Rattus norvegicus: one gene and its partner. The protein of the gene in region 1 interacts with the protein of each later gene in a biochemical or structural test. Links are inferred from orthologs where the notes say so. Each region holds a gene or a part of one and is shown in the gene's direction. Other genes may lie near its edges.

Region 1 (4,229 bases):
GGAAACTTATGGTAACCAGAAAAAAATCTTGGAATGAGGCCTCACACTCAAACAGTAACTACTAAGTGTGCAATCCTGGTGTGCTTTAAGATCCACAATAATAAACGTTTATTCTCTCTGCTTCATGAGGTTAACTGTAAACCCGGATACTGGGATACAAAACTATAAGAACCTTTCCAGAGCAGATTGTTATTGTCCACTCACAGATAGCCACGGTGACTGTAAAATGTTCCTAGGTAGAAACTGTCTTAAGATTATTACTTTAGGAGTTGGAGAGATAGGTCAATAGTTAAGAACAAGAAAATTAAGACTAATTGAGCTCCAGGAACCCACAAGGTGATCCACAAACATCTGTAATTCCAGTTTCAGGGGATCTGACATCCTTCTTCTGACTTCCCTGGGCACCAGTTACACACGTGGCACACACACATTCACGTAAATAAAACACTCATACACATTAAAGAAAAACTTTAAAAGAAAATTATTTTACTTTTTTCTTGCCCCTAAGGCGGACCAGAGTCGGAGGGAGGTGGGGAAAGGGGCGCGAGGGGCGGGGGGGAGATTGAGGGTGAGATAAAAATAATAACACAAAAGAAAAGGCACCCAAATGCAAATGGGCTTTAAAAACCATTATTTCAAAGCTAACTACTTCACCGGGAGCCTCTTCTTACTCCACTGGCCCAGTTTCCACAAGTCTCAGCAGGAGCTTGGTTGGGTGGAGGTCCACGCTGGCCAATAGAAATCAGCTGTATTCTTACAGGTTTCGCAGCAGGTGGAGAAACTGAGCGTGAAAAATTACTTAAACGTGGGCTCGGTCTTTTACCGAGGTCAGGGACGCCCGCCTGATTTGTCCTCCTCTACTAACAGGAACAGAAAGAAATGTTGGGGACCCAGTTTCCTAATCCCTTCGCCCCGCAATCCCGACTAGTAACACCTCCATCATTAGCCGAGTATATTCTCCCCGCTCCTGAGAGTGTTGGAGGGACCTGTGGTTGTCCTTTATTGTCTAGAGAGCACCTGCCAGGTGGCTGGCCCGTGCCTAATGCGCGCGTGGCGCCTGGCTTCACAAAGCGCGGGCAGCACCTGCGTGGTCAGCCAGCCGCCTCGGGCTGAAGAACCACCGACGGAGGGAGAGCGCTGGGAGGGAGAGGATTCTGGGTGGAGGGCCTATGGGGGCTCCAGGTCTTAGAGGGCACAGCGCCCCTGGAATCAGCATATTCCAGTCCGAGAGCCCCGGGCACCAGGCAGCGGGAGGGAGTGCGACCCGGGCGGGAGAAGGGAGGGGCGTGGCCACGCGCTGGGAGGAGGGCTGGAGGAGGGGCTGTCGCGCGCCGCTAGTGGCTCTGGGGGCTCGGCTTTGCCGCGCTCCGTGCACTTGGGCGAGAGCTGTAGCAGAGAGAGGAGCTCAGAGTCTAGCGCAGCCACCGCGATGAGAGGCGCTCGCGGCGCCTGGGATCTGCTCTGCGTCCTGTTGGTCCTGCTCCGTGGCCAGACAGGTGGGAAAGAGCGGCAGGCAGGAGGATTGCACCCCCTGTGGGCGCAGCCCGGGTCCGGGAGGGGTGCCACCTGGGTGCGTCCAGAGTGGTAGCTTTTGGCTTTTCCCAAGCCTGTGTGTTACAGCTACAGCGAAGGTGGCGGGCGGACGCTGGACTCCGGTGGCTCGCCTCGCTCACCTGAGCTGGGAGACCGCAGCCCAGGCAATGGAGACCCGGGGCCGAGGGTCTTCTGGGAGCCGGGACAGCGGCTGCAGGCTGCGGGCGAGTTTGGTGATGCTTTTGTGCCGACTAAGCGCGGCCTCGGGCTTCGCAGGGAGAGCGTCCTCTTTCCTAGTGAGGTGCTGCCACGGCTCCCTTTTTGTTAAAAGTTGCGCGTGGGTGACCGGCGCCCGGGAGGACCAGCCCACGGGTCCCCGGACGCACGCTGGGCAAACTTGGAGAGCCTTTTCTCGGGGCCGCTGCTTCCCCAGCTCGGGCGCTCTTTGTGCACAGTGCTGGGGGCTCAACCGCAGCCGCTCTCGTCGTGCGCGGCGCCACCCGTGGAGACGAATCTCGGGCTTGCTTGTCCCCTCCCCCCCGTTTTTTTGCACGGGGAGCACGCGGCGTGAGGCTCTGGGGCGGGACCCCACGAGCCTGTAGGTGGCGGCTATGGGGACAACTTGAGCCGGGCGTGTGGCGAGCAGCCGCTAGGTTGCAGACTTTTTCCTTTTGTAAATCTCGTGCTAGAGACTCGCCCCTCTCTGCAGCCGCACGGTGTTCATTGCTGCCACGCGCCAAGGGAGCTGCTGTAGCCTACGTTGGCTGCCAGCTTCTGGGAAGCAGCGACTGCGTGCGGGGACGCAGCTGTTCTTGCCACCTCGTGCGGGCTGCAGCAGGACCAAGTCAGCCCGCTCCAGCTTTGGAAACCTCTGGTTTTAGTGTGTGTGCCTTGTAATCGCAGGTGGCCTTTTTTGCGGGGGATCCCGAGATCCTGACACCCTCTCCCTCGTGATAGCCATACTCAGGGCTGCCTAGGGAGGCTAGGTGGTGGGGGTGAGGGGTGAGAGTAAGCGTCCTGCAAATAGCATTTGTTTCTGTTCTGAAAACCTTGTTACCTCTGGAGGGTAACTTGGGTCTCCAGATCTTGAGGCTCCTGGAGCTCCTCAGCCCTGCCCCTTTTTGCCAGGTGTCGCTGGTGCACTGCCTGTGCAGGTTGCCTGATTAGTCCCGGAAAGCTTACTCTCTCCCAGGTCATTTTCAAAACAAAACCCAGGAACCTTTTAAGGTTACCCTGATGCACTAGAGAACAATCTGCGCGCTGGAGTAAAGCGTCAGATGGCCAGCATCTCTGTGACCTGTTTTGAGCCTACCGTTTGGCGGTTGCGTTTTCCTGATCTCATTCCCTCAATGCTTTTGAAAGGCCGGGAGAGGGCTTTCCTGTGGGGGAAGCCTTGCAACGGAACCTCTGCACTAGGGGAGGGGTCATGGGGGGTCACAAATGAGTGTTCAGATTCCTAGGTGTATTTGACCAGTTAGCTGAAAATGACCCCAGTGATCTTTGTGTTTTCCACCTTGTTCTGCTTTAGACCAAGGTGGAGCACCACAAAGATCACAGTTCCCTTTTGAAAACAGAAACGGGTCAGTGGTGTGCATTTTCCCCCTGGTTAGTGTGCTCTGGCCAGTAACTTTTTGGCAAAGGGAATTTGAAGGTCTGATTCCTGGCACACAGTGTGTTTGTAATTCCCTTCTCTACCCCAGTTTCTAACCTTCTTTGCCTCCCTGGTTGTGTGCCCTTGGGCGGTCATTTAAATTGGGAGTGGGTGGGGGGCTTGGGTTTCCCTGAAGGTACTTGAAAACATTTGCATCATGAAGGATCAGGGGGAGTTCAGAATTTCAGAAAGCTGCTTTCTTGTCTAAGGGCCATTTGGGGTGTGTGTGTGTGTGTGTGTGTGTGTGTGTGTGTGTGTTTTTTTTACTGTTTTGCTCCCGGCTTAGGTTTAGCGGGAAGCAGTTTGTATTTTTGTTTATGTTGTAGCCTTTGGAGGGCTAACATGTGCCTGCTTTGCAGTTACCCCTCCTTCCAGGGCATTTACAGCTCAACAGGATGGCTCAACAGGATGGCCCTAGAACAGTGAATCAGACGTCCCCCTGTTCCTGCAGGTGCAAGCCTCTAGTCATTCATGCACCTGGCATTCTGGTTTATGATCCTGCTGGAAATAATCTGATAGTTCCGTGTGAAGAGATAGACCCTAATAGTTAAACTTCTCCCCCATTCCGGGCTTTCCCCACCCATCCACACATTCCTTTTTCCTATGACGTTATAAATGGCATGCCTGCCGTGCTTGTGCAACACGCTTTCTAGTGTGCTTTCCATATTATATCATGGATGTGCTTTGTGCATATGTGGGGCTTCACAATCAGCAAATGCCTGCCAGGCCTCGAACTGAGAGCTTTGCCTGCCATTTCTGTACTCAGGGGGCACAGGAGGTTGGACCACAACAGCGTCTATTCCCTCTCCTCTACTGTTTTCCAATTGGAGGATAAGTCACTTGGCCAAAACAGCCAGCGAAGGAAGCCGAGCTCAGCTCCATGTGCATCCCTTATACAGAGTCTGTTGTAAAGTAAGATACTTACAAAAGTATTTAATGAGTGGTTACAATAAGTCCAGCCCTGTTGGAGGTTTTGGGGGTCCAGGACTGCTCATCTGGGTAAGATGGCTTCAGGCTGCCTGTTTTAGGATGTTTTGGTTAGTCT
Region 2 (4,228 bases), about 2.7 Mb from region 1:
GGCTGGCCAGCAAATGTCCAGCTATGTTTTTGTTTCTGCCTCCAGCTCTGGAGTCCAGGTAGGAAACAACTTTCTATCTGTCTGTCTTCCTTTCTTTCTTTCTTCCTTCCTTTCTTTCTTTCTTTCTTTCTTTCTTTCTTTCTTTCTTTCTTCCATTTTTTTAAAAATATGGGTTCCACCTAATCAATCTGCACTTTCGTAGTGAACATTTTACAAATTAATTTCTCCATCCCAAAGGCTTTTGGGGGACAGAGCTCAGTCTTTTATTTCCAGGGACTATACATGAACAATACAGTCCCATCCTGTGTCTCTCTTCCTCTGAGAGGTCCTCATATCCCTGCCGTGGCTGGCCTAGAACCACTTATGTAGACCAGGCTGACCATAAATGGAGAGATGCCTCAGTGGTTAAGAGCACTGACTGCTCTTCCAGAGGTCCTGAGTTCAATTTCCAGCAACCACATGGTGGCTCACAACCATCTGTAAATGAGATCTGATGCCCTCTTCTGGTGTAACTGAAGACAGTGACAGTGTACTCATACATAAAATAAATAGATCTTTTAAAAAGTGCATAGGAATGGGCTTGACTTTGACTCTCAACTGTTGGAATTAAATATGTGGGTCGCCATGCTTGTCTGAGAGTACAGGATGGGTAATAGTGACTAAAAGTCACAACTACCATCAAAGACAACTTAGACTTGAAGGTAGGGATCAAACCAGGGCCTTGTGCATGTTAAGCAAATATCGTATCACTACAGCCCCAGTCTTTCAAGGCCAGCTTCTCAGGTAGCTAGCTAGCTAGATGACAATAGGTGCGTTCTTTCCCTGTGTCTAAGAACTTCACGGGATTTAAAGTCAGTAACTTCAAGATTGTTTTCATTACTAGTGTATCAACACTAATAATATAAGTGACCCTACGCTAGGCTCTGATGCTTCAGGCCTGTCAGTCAAATGACCCGTTCTTTTATCACCGCAAGGCACATCATCATCCGGTTTGCCCGCGGGGGGCGGGGGTGGGGGCCAAGCGGAAGTGGAGGTCGGTTCCCTGTTCCCACAGGGCTCTCAGCCACCCACAGGTGTCACTGCTACCGGCTCTCCGAGCCGGAGACGAAAGAGCATTTCTCTGGACGGTTCTCTTAGGATGGGAAGTCCGGACTTAGAGAGACCCCACGCCGCGTCTGTGTGGATAACAGGCGCTCTCTGGAACTTCGGCGGCAGGACGGCGAGCTCGGGCACCAGTCTTTGACTTTGAAATCGCGGAAGGAAGGTGGGAACTGGCGGCTGTGGGCAGCGGAGGGCAGGGGCGGTGCGGTGAGGGGGCGGGGCCAGGGAGGAGCTAGGCAGTGGGCGTGACGATGGGCTTGGTCAGCGCTTGCCAAACTCCAGGCTCCGCAGTTTGGCCCGCGCTGTCTCCTGTCCTGTGTCAGCACGCGCTCGGTCAAGGTAAGAACCCAGGGACTCTCGGCCAGGAGGATCAGAGGGGTGCGCGCTCACGGAGGTGGCCTCCACCTGCCGGAGATTGATCTTAGTGGGATTAGGCAGGATTTTTCTACCCTTCACATGGAGGTGGGAGCGTCAGGTCAGAGGCCCGTCCCCCTTGGGCCAGGAAGAGGGGACAGGTGCGCTCCCCTGATGGCCGCGCCTTCCCTGGTGGCTGCAGATCTGAGCCCTTTTGGACTTGGGATCTAAGCCGAGAGCACTTTCGCCTGAGTTCCCTTCCCAGTCGAGCGGCAGGGAGGCCTTTCTCCTCTCTGCCTGTGCCGCGGTAAAATTAGAATCCAGGAAGATGGTCCACAGTTGCTTGTGCGCCGAGCAGGTGCACTTATTTCTTTAGTTATTTTTCCCTTCTGGAAAGTGGTATCTGGATCTTGATAAACAGGGGTTTGAAGAATCAATGTGGGAAAAACTAAGTGGACCTTGTCCCAAGAAGGTGCAATTTTCCCTGGATTATACATTTCTTAACTTTTTTCCTGTCGTTGGCGAATGACTGATATGTTTCTGTGTACCAGGTCCCACCTCGGGTTGATCTTTGGAAACTGGACTATTTGATTTAGAAGAGTTGATCTCAGTGTTAGATTGGGACGACAGGGTGGCTGGCTTAGTTAAGTGGGTTTGAAGCCTGTCCAGAATAGTATGCTTTAAGCAGATGCCTTACATTTTTCCAGTGAGTGGCCATTTTCCTCTTAGGAAACTCTGACAACCTATTCCCGTCTAGATTATTCTCTTTTACAGAGTCGGGGAGTGTTAGGAGGAAGCATCAACTTATCAGCAAGTCTCCTAAGTAAGACCCGGGGTTTAATAGTTGAGTGAACAACACTGGTAGCTCTGTGGTCTGCAAGACTCAAAATAAGGAACTGCTTGATATTTACTGGGGGGTGGGGGGGTTGGGGGTTGGGGAGCTGTGGCTTACACGTTTGTTCAGTTATATTTTCATTGTTTAAGAAAGGCTTATCTTTTCGCCGTACACTTATTAATCTGGTCACTATTCCTATCCTTGTCATCGCTGGGTGCTTTCTGTAGAGTGCCTATGTTAATCACCCTCATTCTTCCCACAAGGGTGTGTGCCTTTGGCTTTGTGGAACTGTGTGGGACAATTATTGTAAACACACACAAATCAATGCTGAGCTCTAGCTGGCAATACCTTTGCCCTACATGGATCTGTGGCCTAGAATTTTTCTCTTTTTCTTTCTTTCTTTCTTTTTTTTTAAAGAAGAGCTTTTAAAGATTTATTTATTTATTTTGTATTTGAGTACACTGTAGCTGTCCTCAGACACACCAGAAGAGGGCATCAGATCTCATTATAGATGGTTGTGAACCACCATGTGGTTGCTGGGATTTGAACTCAGGACCTCTGGAAGAGCAGTCAGTGAACTTAACCACTGAGCCATCTCTCCAGCCCTCTTTTTTTTTTTTAAAGGATTGTTTATTATACTTTATGTATGAGTACACTGTAGCTGCGTTCAGACACACCAGAAGAGAGCATCAGATCCCATTACAGAGGGTTGTGAGCCACCATGTGGTTGCTGGGAATTGAACTCAGGACCTCTGGAAGAGCCGTTTCTCCATTCCCTTTCCTCTCTTCCTAAACAGTAAAGCATCTAGGGTATGAATGCATGGTTTAGCATTGCCAGGGTTTCCTTGCTTTCCTTACATCAAGGTGGTCTTGTTTACAAAGCAGGGCAGAGGCTACATTTTATCAAACCTGTGACGCTCAGTGGATGGTAACGTCCCTCCCAACAGCTGATCCGGAAAGGAGGATGGAGAGACTGGATAATTACTGGCCCATTTGTATTCTTGAAGAATGCCTGGCCTCCTTGCCTTCCCCCAGGCACCCAGGGCCTCTAACCACACCTCTGCCTACAGGTTCTCCAGGCTGGCCTGGTTGGTGCCTCTCTTCCTAGCCCTGCACCCGTTCTACTAGATTTTGGCATTTGCTTCACCCCTCCCCGGGTCTCCACTCCCATCTGAGGAAGATGACTTGTTGTCTACAGATCATTAAGGGCATTGATAACTCCGCTTGCTCATGGCTCCTCTGCCGATTCCCAGTGTCTGTGGACATTGTCCCTGCTCAGAGCCCTTACGAAGCTCTCACCTTGTCCAGTGAACAGCGGGTGATGCAGAGTCTTTGAAGTTGAATTCATAGCGAGAGTTTTGGGAGGCAGCCATTTTGTTCGGATTAAGGTCCTAAGTGGGGCGTCCAAGTCCGTAAGAAGGGAATGAAGTTAACTTCCGATCACGGGCAGCGGGAAAATGATCTTACTCCGTGTAATTATGCTACTAGAAGAGATTTGTTGGTAAAAAACAGACACCTAGAGAAGAGGGTGTAGAAGTTTTCTGTACCTCCACACCAGTCTCCTCCTAGGCCTGCCTTTTAATCCATGCCTGGGTCAGCCAGTCCTTCCTTGGGTCGGATTATAACTATTAATTTCTTCTGCACATTAGACCGCTCGGAGCTCAGGTGACCCAAGCTACCATGAAACAGAGGTTGAAAATTACATTTCCAGTTTAAAGGGGGAAAAAAAAAAAGGAAGGAAGGAATTAAAACAGCAACAACAGCAGCAGCAACCAAAACCCCACAAACAGGGTGCTACTGGGGAAACAGAAGGAGCAAACAATTGTAAACATATGCAGGCACAGAATTTTGAGCTCAGAAATGGCTAGATCAAGATAAGCCACAATATTTATGGCAAGGTCAATATTCACAGCTAAGCTAAGCACAATTTTGTGTTCC

What was found. The genes of interacting proteins can lie anywhere in the genome.
Region 2: the proteins of Kit (region 1) and Tec form a complex in vitro, tested with the Homo sapiens proteins (2 studies listed by BioGRID and IntAct, with this or other methods). The link is inferred for Rattus norvegicus from reciprocal best matches to the Homo sapiens genes KIT and TEC.

What each region holds. Positions count from the first base shown.
Region 1 is NC_086032.1:32,975,969-32,980,197, reverse strand, and holds the start of Kit (mast/stem cell growth factor receptor Kit precursor), read left to right. Parts: upstream 1-1,385; 5' UTR 1,386-1,429; coding exon 1,430-1,496; intron 1,497-4,229. UniProt on the Homo sapiens protein: Tyrosine-protein kinase that acts as a cell-surface receptor for the cytokine KITLG/SCF and plays an essential role in the regulation of cell survival and proliferation, hematopoiesis, stem cell maintenance, gametogenesis, mast cell development, migration and function, and in melanogenesis.
Region 2 is NC_086032.1:35,705,484-35,709,711, forward strand, and holds the start of Tec (tyrosine-protein kinase Tec), read left to right. Parts: upstream 1-1,386; 5' UTR 1,387-1,440; intron 1,441-4,228.